Notamacropus eugenii: one gene and its partner. The protein of the gene in region 2 purifies or fractionates together with the protein of the main gene of each other region. This does not show direct contact. Links are inferred from orthologs where the notes say so. Each region holds a gene or a part of one and is shown on either strand. Other genes may lie near its edges.

Region 1 (8,184 bases), on a different chromosome or scaffold from region 2:
AATTTGGTTCCTTCTGGCTCCAAGCCTATGATACTATAAGGAGGAAGGGGGAAGAAGTGATAGAAGTCTGAAGAGAGAGACAGAGACACAGAGATAGAGACAGAGAGACAGAGTTGTAATCAGACTCAGTCTAAAATAAAAGGATTATTGTGCTGTAAGAGTCCCAATGATTAGATGACATAAAACCAGTAAAATCCAGACAACTTGGTTATGTGGTACTTTTTTGGGGGGGGTAAAAATTTTATTGTTGCTTTTTTCCTCACATTCTTAACACTTCTCAATAATTCCCTCACACCCATAGAACCCTTTTTTTTTATAACCAAATGAATACAGTTGAGTAAAGCATATCTCCAGAATGGTCCTGTCTCAAAAGGTATGTGTTTATTCCACACTTCTGTCTGCCACCTCTCTGCAGAAAGAAGGGAGACAGGCTTCACCATCAAATCCTCTGAAATTATAATTTGTCATTCAGTCATGTCCAACTCTTTGTGATCCCTTTGGGATTTTCTTGGCAAAGATAACTGGAGTGGCTTACCATTTCCTTTTCAAGTTTATTTTATAGATGAGGAAACTGAGGCAAACAGGATTAATTTAATTGATTTTCTCAGGATCACACAGCTACTAACTATCAGAGGTCAGATTTAAGCTCAGGCCCAGCACTCTATCCACTGTACCATCTAGCTGCTCGAGATTATAATTGGTCACTGCATTGATCAGAGTTGTAAAGTCTTTCAAAGTTATTTTCCTTTACATAATTGTGGTCATTACATACACTGTTCTTCTTGTTCTGATTTCTTTGCTTTAAATCAGTTTGTATAAGTCCTCCCAAGTTTCTCTGAATTCTTCATATTCAGAGGTAATTTCATAAAGCATGATTTTAATCTCATTCACATGCCAACCTTGTTCAATCATCTCCCAGCCAATGAGCATTCCCTTTTCTTCCAAATGTTTACTACTACAAGAAGTGCTACTATCAGTATTTTCACAATGACAGGCCATAGGTCTAGAAATAAAAGGCTCCACCTTTCCCTTTCACTTTACTGGGGCCCAGGGAGCCTAAACAACATCTTCAAAATCATATAAGGAGCATCAGAGGAGGATCTTCAACCCATGTCCTTGGACTCCAAAGACATGGCTCTTTCTACTATGGACTATTCTTATCTTTGAAGCAGCTAGATGGTGCAGGGGCCTGAGTTTAAATTTTACCTTAGATACTTAGTAGCTGACTAAAGACTCATCTTGCTGAGTTCAAATCTGGCCTCAGACACTTACTAGTTGGGTGACCCTAGGCATGTTACTTCACCCTGTTTGACTCAGTTTCCTCATCTATAAAATGAGCTGCAGAAGGAAATGGCAAACCACTCCAGTATCCTTGCCAAGGAAACCCCAAATGGGATCATGGAGAGTCAGATATAACTAACAGACAAAAACAATGGGTGGGGGGTGCAGCTAGGTGGCACAGTGGATAGAAAAACACCAGGCCTGGATGCAGGATGATCTAAGCTCAACCTTAGACATTAGCTGTGTGACTCTGGGCAAGTTACTTAACCCTTTTTGCCTCAGTTTCCTCATCTGTAACATGAGCTGGAGATGAGAAGGAAATGGCAAACCACTCCAGTACCTTTGCCAAGAAAACCCCAAATAGGGGCATAAAGACTGAACAATAGGGACATCAAAATAGCTGGGCCATGCCCCTTTGACTTCTTGGCAAATAGGTGAGAGACAGCCCCAAGGCCCCTCCTCCACCTTGAAGCCCCCAGAAGTTCCTGCTCCTTACTCTCTAAAGGAAGCCTTTCCCAATTCCTCTTAATTCTAGTGCCTTCCCTCTGTCGGCTACTTCCTATTTATCCTGTATATAGCTTGTTATTGCACAGTTGTTTATTTGTTGTCTCTCCCATTAGACTGGGAGGGGCTCTTGTCTTTTGTCTTTCTTTGTATCCCCAACGCTATATGGAGTGACCAATTCTAACTAGGCTGGGAAAGGGAGGTCCATTTGGCTAGTTAGTACCTTTTGCATGCATAGTCTATTTTTTTCTGGCTCAGCAGTCAGCCTTTTCTTCAGCACATAGTAATCAGACAGCAAATAGTTATAGAATACCTGGGCATGCTCTGAAATGGGGAGCAGGACATGCTATTATGCATATGGATTATACCAGGCAAAGAAGATTGCACATGTTCCCAAGCTGGGCTCTCATTGGCCAGCCCCCTGTCATATAAAGCATGGCTTTTTGTAGGGAGAGGAGAGAAATACATTAGGAAGTGAAAGTGATAAGAAAAAAAAAGATTTTTCTTTCCTTGCTCAAAAAAAAAAACCTACCTCTTCAGATTATTTATCTATTGGCGAAAGACTCTTGTTCTTATGCATTTAAATCTTGTATATCAGATCTTAGATATCCTTATTATAGATATGTGTTGCAAAGATATTTTCTCCAATGAACTGCTTCTCTTCTAATTCCATCTACACTAATTTTATTCATGGTGTCTGACTTTCCCCAAAGGACTTCTGTGAGACATGAGCAGGAAGAGAGATAGCAGATGGTGGCAGTAATCCAGCAGTTTGGCAAGGAATAGCTAGCTGATGAGAGGACCAAAAGGTAAAGAGTCTAAGGTAACTAACAGTATGTGGTTGAACTGGTCAAGGTCATGAAGGCATGGAAAGGAAGACAGAGAATAAAACAGGAAGGGATAGAAAGATTGGAGGCCACCATAAGCATAAAAAACAGATTTAAGAGGTGCCAGGTAGTGACGATAGGAATTCAGAGATTTAGATGCAGGACATGGAATAATTGCATTACAGGTGATGATCTGATTATTTGAGGAGTTCTAGGCAACTGAGGGGTAGAAAAGATGGAGGTCATGGGAGTTGAAGCACTTAAACTGTGAGCTCTAGTTGTTTCAGGAGACTGCCAATTATCTTGAAGTCCCCAAATATGAAGATTGGGTTTGAGGTTGGAGAAGAACCTTGAGTTCATTGAGAAAAGACTAAGAGACTGGCAAAGTTGACATAAAAGGAAAATAACAAATGTGAGAGGGGTTATGAGGGGAAAATGCACTGTTAGTGGAGCTGTGAATTGATTCAGTCATTATGGAAAGCAGTTTTGGAACTTTGCCCCCAAAGTTACTAAACTGTGCATTTGCCACAAGTAGGCCTGTATTACTAGACCCTTTAACGTAGAAATACCTAAGCTATGCTACAAAATGGTCAAAGAAAAAGGACCCATATGCAAAAATATTTATAGCAGCTTATTTTTTTTCTTTTGTAGCTGAAAAGAACTGGAAAATAGGGGAATGACCTTCAGTTGAAGAATGGCTGAACAAATTATGATGTATTAATGTAACGAATTTTATTGTTCTCAATGAAATGATGAAAGGGAGGCTATCAGAGAAACATGGGATAACAAATAAACTGAGCAGAATGAAATGAGCAAAAGCAGGAGAACTTACACAGTTAACAACATTGTAAAGACAAACTTGAGAGACTTAAGAATTCTGATCGATGAAATCACCAGCCATATTTCCCCAAGACCCAACGGGAAACGCGCTGATCTCCTGAGAGAGTGGTGATGGATTTGGGATGCAGATTGAAACACATCGTTTTTTTTTTATAAACACGGCCAATTTAAAAATGTTTTGCTTGACCATACATATTTGCTTAAAGAGCTTTTTCCTTTTTTTTCAGTGGAGATGAAGTGGGAAGCAAAGAAAACAAGTCTTTAATGTAAAAAAAAATAAATTTAAAGACAAGGAACTGTCAAAGACTTCAGAACTCTGAACCAGACAATGACCAACCAGGATTTCAGAGGACCCCAAATGAAATGTGCTGCCCACTTACTGAGAGACTGGTGATGGAACCAGGAGGTAGATTACAACACCGTGTTGGGAAACGGCCAGTAAGAGAATTTGTTTTGCCTGACTATGCATATTTCTTACAAGGGCTTTTTCTTTTTTCCCAACGAAGGAAGGTGTGAGGTGGGAAGAACAAAGATACATTTGTATGTGAAAATTTTAACTATTATTCATTGAAATTATTTTTTTAATGAAAAGACTAACAATGGCTTGGCAATCGCTAGAGAATAAGGAGTTCGACCAGGTGACAAATAGATGGAGGAAGGTGGCACCCTTGGTACAGTGGGAGGGGCGATTGAAAGGCACGTTGGGGGGTGGAGGCGTAGACACTGGGAGGCGGGGAAGGGGGGGAGTTAGGGGGGTTCAAGGGGCAGCGTCTGGCCCCACAGCTAGAAGTCCTGGGACCCTCTTCGCAGCCCAGAAAAAGGGTAAATCAGCAAGAACCAGCGGCATTCACTAAGCCACGTTCCCCAGAACACTGGGCCTGCAATGCGAGAGGCGGGGTTTCCCCGGGAAAAGGGCGGGGACTGCGGGTCCAGAGGCGTCCCCAGGGAGCGGGGAGGGGAATGGAGGGGAGCGGCCACCAGAGTTCAACACCACCGGCTCCCCGCCCAGTTAGCCGGCCGGGATTGCAACAAAGTATCCACCTCCCCAAGCTTCGCGCACCCCTGCTTTAAACACCGCTTCCGCTCCGTGCGGTCCTATAGGCCTGTCGGCGGGGATGCGTGCTTCCTATTGGCGAGGAGAAGACAATCGAGGCCCCGCCCCCTCCGCACACTCTCTAGGGAGGTACGGCCGTCGGGACGTTCGGCCGCGGCGTGGCCCTCCTCCTCTCCGCTCGGCTCCCTCCGCCTCCCCCGCCCCATCTCCGCCCCCAATAGCCAATGCGGCCGAGCGGCGGCCCGCGGGGCAGATGCACGCGCCGGGACCCCGCTAGCTCGAGCAGCCGCTGCGCGCGCGGAAGAGAGTGCAGGAAGACAGGAAGTGAGGGAGGGGACAGCGGGAGAAGGGGAGGGGCCCGAGGGTCGAGGCCGCTGCGGGGAGGCCGAGCGCGGGGCGGGGTGGCGCGCGCGCCCGGCTTACCTCGCGCGCGCGCGCTCTGGGCTCCTCGCGCCGCGCCCCCCGCCCGGGAGAGGCGGGCTGGATCGTCCCGGGGCGGGGGGGAGGTTGGAGGAGGAGGGGCGGGGTGAGGTGAGCAGGAGGCGGTGACGAGGCAGCGAGGCCAGGAGGGAGGGGAAGGAAGGGGCCATGGCCGCCCGCTGAGGCGGCGGCGGGGGGGAGGAGGCGGCTCGACCCCCGGCTCCGGGAGGCGAGGCGAGGGCGGACGGACGGACGGACATGGGTCCCCGGAGAAGTAGCAGCAGCAGCAGCAGCAGCCGCCGCCGTCGCCGCCGCCGGAGGACGCGGCCCTGAGAGGCCGAGAGGCCCCGGGGCCCCGGCGCAGCCCCCCGGGCGGGGTGAGTGAGGGGGGAGGGGAGGGGCCTGGGGTCCCGTGCCTCCGCCCCCTGACCCTTGACCCTCGCGCCCTCTGACCCGCCGCTGCCGGGCCCGCGTTCTCTTCCCCGCCCCTCCCCCAAGTCCCGGAAGCAGTGGGTGTTTCTCGGTCCCGGGGTGTGGCGTGCCCTCTTTCCCTCCTCCCCTCCCCCCGCGCTTGTCTTGGGATGGGGGAGGCCCCCGGGGCCGAGGAAGGCGCTGCCCTTTGTTTGGGAGGGAAGACCAGGTTGCCCTGAGGAGCTCGGACAATAGTCCCCTGGAGCACCCCTTCCTGCGGGGCAGGGCAGGGAGGATGCCCGGGCCTGGGAGGTTGTGGGGTGGGGCAGGACCTTGTTTCTCCCCAGGACTGGAAGAGATGGGAACTGGTGTGGTTTGGGCTCCTCCCTACCCCCCCCCCCCCCCAGGGTGATGCAGCGTCAATGCAGTATCGGGCAGGGTGGGGGAGAAAAACTAAAGTCCCCAACCTAAGTGCCTCGTTCCTACCTCCATTCACAAGCCCTAGGGTATTCTTAGCCCTAAAGGGGGAGGGGGGCTCCTTGACACCTCCAGAGACTCCACTGTTGGGAGGAGGGAACCGGTGAGATGGGTTACTGCTTTCTGCCATGCTGTCCTCCTTGGGCATGGGATTGTTGGGTGGGGGCTGGGGGAGATCTTCCAATTCCTAGCTCTTAATCCTTAATCAATGCTGAATAAGAGGTGTACAACTGGCAAGAATTTAAGAGCTCCTCAGTTCCACCCTCTACACTTTACTGATAAGGAAAGGGAGGCCCTAAGGTTAGTAGGTTAAGTAATTTGCCCAAGGTCACAAGTATTAAGTGATAGAGCCAAGACTAAAACCCTGGTTCTGTGATTCAAAATCCATTTCTCTGCACTGTAATGCAAAAATCCTGCCCGGTTCCTTGCTCCTTTATCTTAACCTTCTTACAAGGTTAGCTTCCTTGCTTTGGTTTGGTTTTATTTCATGAGGAGAGACCCAGGGTCCTCCTGCCAGTTACTATGACTTTGGGTAAGTCATTTAACTATTCTGGGTCTTAGTTTCTTAATTTGTAAAGTGAAGTGGTTGGACTAGAAAATCCGTAAGATACCTTCTTTCTCTAAATTTATGTGAGAATTCGGCAAAGGTCTAGGACAGGGAGTTACCTAAGGTGGCATAGCTCCAGGCCTTCTGTGGCCACCATGGCAAAACAGAAGTCACTTTGGGGATGAGATGTGTGTATGATGGTGGAAAGGGTCAAGCTTAGGAATCTGTATAATTTTCTCCCTTCCACCCTACTTCAAGAGAGTTTCAGGTTTCCAACCACTGAAAGAATATTTTTAAACAAGGTGGAAGAACTCAGGGATCAGTAAATTATGAAGGGAGAGGGGAGCTGGGGCTGGGGGAGAGTAGGTAGTAGAGATCCTCTGGACTTAAGCTACCCTTCCTCCCCCAACCCTCCATGTGTACAGCTGTGTGGCCTCCTGCTGTGCTATGAGCAGTCAGAACGTCTTCTCCACGAGAGTTTGCAAATGAAAATGGAGGAAATGTCTTTGTCTGGCCTGGATAACAGCAAGCTGGAGGTGAGAGCTCTCTCCCATCTGTTTGTCTGTCATCTTTGTTTTCTGGTTATCTATATTCATTATCAGCAGCAAAGAGAAACCGTTGGGTAGAAAAGGCACCGGAGGATTTCGAGTTAGAAAAGGCTTGAGTTCAAATTGTGCATTTGCCATTTTCTACCTGTGTGACCTTGGACAGGTCACATCAACTTTCCATAACTAAGTTTTTCCTTTTGAAAAATGAGGAGGTTGAATGAAATGTTCTGAGGATAGACTAGATGATCTCTGAAGTTCCTTTCAGCTATCAACGTTAGGCTCCAGGAATATGGGATAACCACTTTTTTGGGGAAAGGAATAACTGAAAGCCTTGAGAACTGGGAGAAAGAAGAATAGGAATTCAGGATGGAGGCTGGGCCTCTCGTGCTTGGGTCTGAAGCAGTTGTAGGTAACATTAGGGAAGTAAGGCTCAAGTGAAAAGGGCCCCTGCAATCACTCTTGTTCTTTTGGGGGGCCCAGGCCATCGCTCATGAGATTTACACAGACCTGGTGGAAGATGCTTGTCTGGGACTCTGCTTTGAGGTGCACCGGGCTGTCAAGTGTGGCTACTTCTTCTTAGATGACACAGACCCTGACAGCATGAAGGACTTTGGTGAGGCTCAGATGGTGGAAATGATACAAATTCTATCCTCGAGGCTTACTTCATGTCTCCGTAGAGTGTGAACCTTGGCCTTGGGGAGAGTTAATTTTCCTTGCTGTGTGGCTTGGGGTTCTTATGGTTAGTTGTGGTATAGGGCTGGATCTTATGGACTAACTCTCTCGGGTCTAGGAATTGAGTGGGAATTGAAAAGACCTAATGCTTTAAAAAACAGCCTTGCCTTTTCTGACTTGGGGGTGAGGGTTGGGGTGCAGGAGGTAGGTAAACAGGGTAGCAGTGTGCAAGTAGGAGTGTATTCTTTGTCATGTCCTGGCTGAGGCTTAGTATTACTTTCCTGCCTGTGCCATCTGCACCATGATTGCTAAATTCTGCGGTGGGTAGACATGACCTTCAGAGCCTTCCTTAGAAACAGCAGATCTTTATTTTCTCTCCCAGTCCCATGTGTCCATCTCTGCCCATGAGGAGCTGCATGTCATAGCTCAAGGGGCAGTTGTGTGTGAAATCAGGACTGTTTACTAAAGGTATATAAAGGATCCTCCTCCTTACCCTGATCTTTGTGACCCTCACCTCCCCAGAGATTGTAGACCAGCCTGGTGTGGATATCTTTGGGCAAGTGTACAATCAGTGGAAGAACAAGGAATGTGTTTGCCCCAACT
Region 2 (7,744 bases):
GTAGGTGCTTAATAACTGCTTGCTGACTTATCTATCTTGCATTTTTTTTTGAACTTTCACAATCTATGCCACACAACCAAGCATAAAACTGTATACTGTTAATCACTAGCCTTTCACTGACAAGCCTCTTTTCAACCAGATTACAAACTCCTTGAGAGCAGGGTTAGTGCATTACATGTGTCCTTATTCCTACAAGCAGCTAACAGAGGTGAGCAAGAGGAGAGGATGCCCTATGGATACTTACTGACTTATCCGATGAAGGTCTTAAAATTTAAAAAAAAAAAAAAAAAAGGAAAACTATTGTCGTCAGGGAATGGAGTGTTCTAGTTAATCCAATATTCTGCTTAAGCGAGTTAAGGTATACATGTCATAGGATTATCAGTTTTCAAAGAACTAAAATGCACTCCATAAAACTGACCTGAGCATAAATGATCTTTGGTGATTCAGAGCATGGATCTGGCCTCTTTCTGAGCACCTCACTGTTACTAAAACGAGTTAGCCTTGAACTGGCAAATTGCAGAAGACCCAATAAGAGAGCATTGGGGATGACAGGAAGCATAACAGAGCTTACTCTTTCATTCTAGAAAAGACAGTCGATTCTCAATGTTCTATTAACGAAGGAGAATAAATAAAATTAAAAACAAAAAAAATCCAAAATTCATTCACATTTACCTCTGGAATACAGACATCTATCCATTTAGGTAGACCAATGCACAATCAGTTATGCCTGATAAAAGGTGGTAGGAAACCTTAGGCCTTCAATTAATTTGCAGTGAAATGGCTTACAGATAATTTATGGTGGAATGCTTTTCAATTCAATTTGAAAAGCATTTACTGAGTGCCTACTATGTACCATCCCCTTGGCATGTTACACAGTGGGATACATATGAACTAGGGAACAATAAACCAGCTTCCGAAAAAAGGCAAAGAACAAGACCCAGAACACAGGAATCAAAAACAGGGCATTAAAAATGAGTCCTTCCAGTTGGATCCCAAAGCAACCCTAGCTAAAGAGGTACTAATGATTCATACAAAGGGCTCCCTAAGATCAAAAACCCTTCCTAAGAAGGTCTACACACACAGCCAAGACAAGTCCTCTACTTTAGTGTTTCCTCTACAACATCTACCCATTTCCAAGGATCTCCAGGGAATATTCACCACAAGATTTTAATGTTTTTAATGCCCAGGCAGGCTGCCAATTCAGCACCAAAACCAGACTAACAACTGATTTTTCCTATTGCAACATCTCTGACAAGGGCTGGGCTTCCTTGTCTCTTTTCTAACAGCAATTCTCATTTCAAAACCAATTTATTTGTTCTGCGATACTCTCCAATCGAGAAATCTCTACTGCCACCGGGAGTAGTGGGTTACCTAAGTGTGCCAAGACACTCCACAAGTGGCCTACAGAAAGGCCCAACCAGCAGTACAAACAAAAGCTCAGGCCTCTAAAAGTGGCACAGGCTCCCTGTGGCGCTTTCCCGTCCCTAGGCATCGGGCTCCGGGACCTGAGGGGACCTGAGGGGAAAAATGAAAATAAAAAGCTGCCAAGGCACGCTGCCAGGGTGAGAACCGTAAAGCCGAGCGTGGGGCCTGCACCTCCCGGGCATCTTCCTTTGGCCAGCGCCACCCTTGGCCGGCTTTGGGGCGCAGAGCCTGAACCCAGGGCCCCCAGCAGCTCCCGAGGGGGCTCACTCTGCTGGGCGCCGACGGCCTTCCCCTGCCCCCGTTCGGGGGCACAGCCCCTGCTCTGACCGAAGCCGGGCGCAAAGAGCAGCTGCTGCTGCCACAACCAGCCTCGGACCGATGACTGGCACCCCCAAGGGGCACCCGGCCCGTGCACAGGGACCCGACAAGGCTCCGTCCGGACTCCGACTTTCACCAACTTCGCGTCCAGACGAAGCTGCGCCCCCTCCCCGGCCCCGGGGCCCGTCCGCCCGTGCTGGCCCGGGCACCCCGAGCGCGCCCCTCCAGGTGCCCGCGAGCCGCCCGGCCGGGGCGGAGGATGCTCCCGGCCGGGCTGTTAAAGGGCCCTGGCTCCGCCCCTCCCCCGGCCCCATCCCGGCCCCATCCCGGCCCCATCCCGGCCCGGCGCTCCAGGCCGGACTCACCTTCTCGGCACAGCCGCATTACTTCGCGGTTTTTCCCAAACTCCTTCAAACTTTCCTCCGATTCTGACCCTGGGGAGAGAAGAACACAGCGCCCAGAGCGGCCGGTCAGTGGGGGGCGCGAGCGGCGAGCCGGTGCCGGCCCGGCAGGGCAGGGCGGGGGCGACCCTCCCCCGGGGCAGGGGCCGGGGGTGGGGGAGGAGGGGGATCCTCACCGTCCTTCCCGGGAAGTTTCGCGGCTTCTACCCAGTGGTTCCACGGCTGTCCAACCATCGCCTCCGGACTGGGCAGAGACCTGCGCTCCCCGACGGTCGCCATTGTGACTGCGGAGGCGGAGGCGGAGGCGCCGCCGCTCTGGGCCGGCCGGGGCCGCGGCTGGGGCTGGGGCTGCTGGGGCTGCTGCCTGGCGGCCGCCGCTGCTCCTCCCGCCGCCGCCGCCGCCGCCGCTGCCGCCGCCGCCGCCGCCGCCGCTCTGCGCGGCTCCCCTCTGACGTCATCCGCGGCCCTCTCCGACATTCTTTCCGCTGCTACAATGTAACAAAAAAAGGGGGAAAGAGTCGCGGGGCTTCTTAAGGAGGCGCTGCCGAGGCGGGGCGGCGTGCGCGGCCCGGGGCCGGGTGGGGCGCTCTGACAGCCGCCCCCGAGGGCAGCTCGCCCTCCCCCTCTCGAGCCCCCGGGGCGCGGGGGAGCGAGCGGGGCACAAAGTCCGGGAAGGGCGGCCCTCCCCGCCCCCTCCCCCGCTCCCGCGCCTCGCCGCCCCCGCCCCCGCCCGGCGTTTGCTTTCAGTTTCGGATCAACCTGTCCGAGAGGGGCCGCCGGGGCCGGGCCGCCCGCCTCTACGGCCGGGCCCGCGCTCCGCGGCCGGCCCCCCGCCCCCGGCCCGCCCTCCTGCCCCCTTCCCCTCCCCCGCAATGGCTCGCCTGGCGTCGGCCGCGCTCATCCCCGGGCTGGGCCCCGGGCCCTGGCTTCCGTCGGTCCGGTGGGCCGGCCGGCCGGCGCCGCTCGCCCGCCCGCTGCCGGCTCCCTTAAGCGGAGGCACCTCCCGCCGCCGCCTCCTCCCCTCCCCTCCCCGCCCCGCTCCGCTCGGGCGAAGTTTGCACGTCAAGCCCCCGGAGTGGAGGGTGAAGCAGGGAAGCGAGGCGCGGCGGGACCATCCCTCCGCCCCCGCCCGGCCGTCGGCCGGCCGCGGGGTCGCCCCCGCGCGTGCCGCTCCGGGCCCTTTAAACCCGGCCCGTCCCGGGGGGGTGGGGGAGGAGGAGGCCCCGGCGGCCGGGGGTCGCCCTCGGGCCGCCCAGAGCCGAGCCCGGCCAGCGGGCGTCCCAGCTGTCAAAAGCGTGAATGGGGAAGCCCCGACCACTCACTCGGGGCGCCCGGAGTCACCGCCGGAGGGGGGCAAGGGGAGCGAAAATCCGAGCGCGAGCTCCCGGCACATGCCCGCGCGTCCGCGGCCGCAGGCCGAGCGTTAGACCGTGCCTTTGTATGTGCACTGGCACCGGGCACCGGAGCCGAGCTGAGCGCACCGAACAGCGCTTAACCCCTTCCAGGCCTGCGGGGAAAGGCAGGCTCGGAGCAGAAGCCCGCTGCTCTCAGGGCCCGGCGAAGTGCCGGGCGGGTAAGGATCGCTCCCGGGCGCTGCTTCCGTGGGACCCGGGGAGCCAGGACCGGAGCCTCCCCAGAGGGAAGGCGGAGAGGCTGCTGCCTCTCAGGTCACCCCGGAACCCCGGGCCCGCCGAGGCTAAGCTCACGTCCCACTCTCCTCCGGCCGGCCGGGGCACCTCTCCTCACGCCGGGGTCCAGACTTCCACCCCCCGCCAGGCACACCCGGCGAGTCAGTAACGACAAACAGCCGTACCCCTGGAGAGACTAGAGATTAGTGCGGAAACAGGGATTCCGCTCACGGAGTGTAACCGACAGGCTCCGAGGGAGCGTCCGGGGGACGTTTTGGGGCAACCCGGATTTTAACCGAAGCGTTCCCCGGACGGCGGTTGTTTTAGGCCCAAACAGAAGAGGCTGGGAGGATATTTTTTTAAACAAAATTTGTAAATGGGGGGGGGGGGGGACTGATGGTTAATGTTTTCCTTGATTTCCTGGACGGTTGCAGACAAGTCTTGAGTTCAAGAAAATGAAATTACTGCCCCTTTTCCTGCCTTTAAATAAGTCCTAAAAACAAAAAGCCGTGATCTGGAGGGAAATCATTTAAAGAAAGCAAAACAACTTCCTAATCCAGAACCCAATGGAGAATAGAAGTCATCCGATGTATGGAATGGGCCGCTAGGTGGCGCCACAGAGCGCGAGGGCCTGGATCGGGAAGACGGTCTCCCCAAGTTCAAATCAGGCCTCAGACACTTCACAGCTGCGTGACCCTGGGAAAGTCATTTCACCCGCCGGCCCGAGGTGGAGACGGACACGGCAAAGCACCGCAGTGCCTTTACCAAGACAACCCCAAGCAGGGTCACGAAGAGGACAAGGCGGAATCCCGGGGGCCTTCAGAACCACCGGGCCAGGAGCTCCGGCCGTCATTGCCGTCAGACACGGAGCCACACGTGTCCCCAGCAGCGTTCCTGACAGGTGACAGCCGGCCGCGCTCTGTGGATGACTTGCGGTGATCCGGGAGGGACAGAAGGACTGGAACTCCTGTGATCGTCACCAGCATCGTTAATTAAGCTCCAGTGCGCTTCCCTATAATGTCCTCCCGTGGGTCTCAGTTCTCCTGTACACAGTACTCAGAATAAACCTCCTCTCTTCTAAAATGCCCTCATCCAATAAGGAGCTCCATTTCAGCTCCCAAGCTGACAGTTCTTTTCTAAACCAGTCAAAAAAGAAACCACATAAAAGCAGCGTACAAACCCTTATTAGTACTGCTAACTGAGATGTTGAAAGAGGACCGGACTGGCTAACCCAGCTGTTTACAAGCATAACCGATGGGCCCGGAGCAGCAATTTTTCTTCCTTAAATACTTTCTCATATGAGTACATTTTCCCTTATTCTTCTATTTACATTTTAGATTTGAGCACATTGATAATTTTCCACTTCCACATTTAATAACGCTATCAAAAATTAAACTCTAATTTGGAGCTGCCTTCAAATACCATGTTTAACTGTCCACTACAGTGATATCAGAGGATGATGACAAATGCCTTGCTTTCGTGTACAAGACAGTGAAGCCAACAAACTGGAGGCGGCAAATACCCTCTCCATGGCGGTAAGATGCAAACAGTAGTCACTGCTTAGCTGATACTCCATTTCCCACGTTCTGGTGTTTGAGTCAAGGACTGGTGAATTCTCTCCTAACTAGTCCATGTCAATTACAAAACAAAGCCAAGCAATCTGTCCTAATTCCTCATTGGTTACTGTTTGTCAAGGAAAATCACAGACCACGTATATTAAAATTAAGGCCGAACGTTAAACAGAGCAACATTTTTGCCTTTCTTATAAAAATAATTGTTTTATTAGTTTCTGTTGAATGCCTATAACAGCAAATTCAACTATTTCAACTAATCCTTGTCTGGTAACCTCAAAACACAAATAAAGGGGGACAAGGGAACCAGACCATCATTGATTCTTAATCGTCTCTGCCAATGCATTTGTCACTCTTGAGCCCAGCACTAAGAACTACATGAGGTGGTTTATAATGTTCAGGCTTTGCTTCAGACTATCCACAGACATTAGCTGGATGCTGGTATCTAATTGGGGGTTCATTTTTTGAGCATTTTACACATAGACCATACGGTAGACATTCAATTTGTGGAAATGAATACTTGGGTTTGCCCTCAAGCCTGTAGGAAGGAAACCTGATGAGCCCCATTCCCTAGAATGGAAATCACGCCAAGGGACAGGCTTAAGAGCACATCATAATTTCTCTTCTTCATTTAACTCCATTTACTGTAAAGCAGTAGCATGCCTGCAAGGCATGAAGGGTAGATGTCCACTGATGTGATTTCATTCTCACTCTTGAAGTTCTCACAGAGTGTTGACACTAATCCAATGATAAGTTTATCTTTTGACTGTGCCCATTATCATTTGTCCATGCACGTAACTCTGGGAGAAGTCTGGACCAAGCCTCATCCAAGGAGTTCTATGGAAGTAATGGTTCTGTGTCACTGGTCTGCATCCCAGCCCTGCCAAATTCTGAGCCTTTTAATTCTGAGGATCTGCTGAAAATGCAGTCTTACCTCACTATCCAGATTTAGGGATGGTGACATTTGGAGCCAAGAATCACGTATCTCTCTTTACAAAGAGGATTCTTTACGTTACAGGTTCACTTATAAATATCTTTGTTCAGAGACCAGTGGTATGGTAAGGGGAAAAATGAATACCTTTCCTTCTTTACAAGCAGTACATGATCAGATATGGGTAAGACCTTCCAAGGAATCAATACCTGAAAGTGTCTGAGAGGAAAATCTGACCCAACATCTTCATGTCTGAAAATGCACATCCAACTTGTCTGTTATGAGTCTCATGATGACAGTGGGCTCCCCATGCCAAATCAACCTAACGTACCTGAGGCATATTAGAAAACATAAAATGAACCCTTCATATGCACAGAGGAATGTGGCTGGAGTCTAGGCCTAAGCTTCAACCTAAGCTTGAATCTAACGCTGCGCAAGATTCTTGTCTCTGTCTTTTTGCCCTCCTAACCATATGGTTTACCAGGTTTTTCATCATTTTGTTCTGCATGCAGGGCGGCAGGCTGGTCTTTACGACACGATGCTCCCCCTAGTGAAGTCTCTTTACAGAGACGCATGTTTCAGGAGAGGGGAAAGAGGGGCAGTGGCAAAATGAATTCATCAGCTCAGTGGCCAGGAGTGCTGACTGTAAGGCACCAAGCTAGGAAGAATGAGGTCAGCTGAGAAACTGGGGACTTAAAGTGGAAGGATAATTATCTTTCTCATGACCCGACCTGAACAAATGTGCATTCTTCAAATCAAAACCCCTCCCCCGCTTTTTTCCTTTTCTTGATCACTGGCATCCAGCTTCCTGATAATTCCCCAAAGATAACTTTAGTATCAAGAAGTTGTTTGCAGCTTTTAAAAAGAGAAACAACTATTTTAAGAAGCAAAAGACAATAAAAGCTCTTCAGCCCACCTATAAATATTCAAACGGTTTTAGGGATCTACAGGAATAGATGTGTAGACATCCCTAGAGTGAAAAAAGGGTGATAGAGAGTAGAAGAAGGATCTGAGTTCTGTCGCTTCTTTCCCTGTGAGACCTTAGGTAAGTGACTTCACCTTGGGGTCTTGGTTTCCTCACCTGTAAAAAATGAGGACATTGGCCTAGATAACTTCCAAAGTCTCTTCTGGTTCAAAATCTATGGGGCTCTTACTGTGCTTCATTTCAAACTCATTTGCCCAGAAAAGAAAACACTTGAGAATGGAAGACCTGAAAAAAACTTAGCTACTTAGATGAGGAAAACAAGTACCCATTTATGGGGCTAATGCAATTAATGAAAATCTACATCCGTGTTTTAAGAATACCTGATGACATTTTTCCTATAATGAAGCTTTCAGTGTAATTATAAACATAATTATACCTGTTGATGAAATTCAGCTAAAACTAAAATCTTATGAAATGCAAACTTTATTTAAGCAAAGTCCCTTGGCCCTGGTACTGATCCATCTGCACAGACCAACTCAAAACAA

What was found. Proteins that work in one complex are often made in the same cells at the same time.
Region 1: the proteins of ATXN7 (region 2) and ATXN7L3 purify together in Homo sapiens (affinity purification with mass spectrometry; 9 studies listed by BioGRID and IntAct, counting the BioPlex papers as one, with this or other methods). This does not show direct contact. The link is inferred for Notamacropus eugenii from reciprocal best matches to the Homo sapiens genes ATXN7 and ATXN7L3.

Annotation. Positions count from the first base shown.
Region 1 is NC_092873.1:349,845,946-349,854,129, forward strand, and holds the start of ATXN7L3 (ataxin-7-like protein 3), read left to right. Parts: upstream 1-5,031; 5' UTR 5,032-5,303; intron 5,304-6,001; exon of another isoform or gene 6,002-6,114; intron 6,115-6,786; 5' UTR 6,787-6,846; coding exon 6,847-6,897; intron 6,898-7,389; coding exon 7,390-7,522; intron 7,523-8,103; coding exon 8,104-8,184. UniProt on the Homo sapiens protein: Component of the transcription regulatory histone acetylation (HAT) complex SAGA, a multiprotein complex that activates transcription by remodeling chromatin and mediating histone acetylation and deubiquitination.
Region 2 is NC_092874.1:460,449,554-460,457,297, forward strand, and holds the start of ATXN7 (ataxin-7), read right to left. Parts: upstream 3,125-7,744; 5' UTR 3,026-3,124; intron 2,821-3,025; exon of another isoform or gene 2,633-2,820; 5' UTR 2,622-2,632; coding exon 2,321-2,621; intron 2,178-2,320; coding exon 2,109-2,177; intron 1-2,108. UniProt on the Homo sapiens protein: Acts as a component of the SAGA (aka STAGA) transcription coactivator-HAT complex. Mediates the interaction of SAGA complex with the CRX and is involved in CRX-dependent gene activation.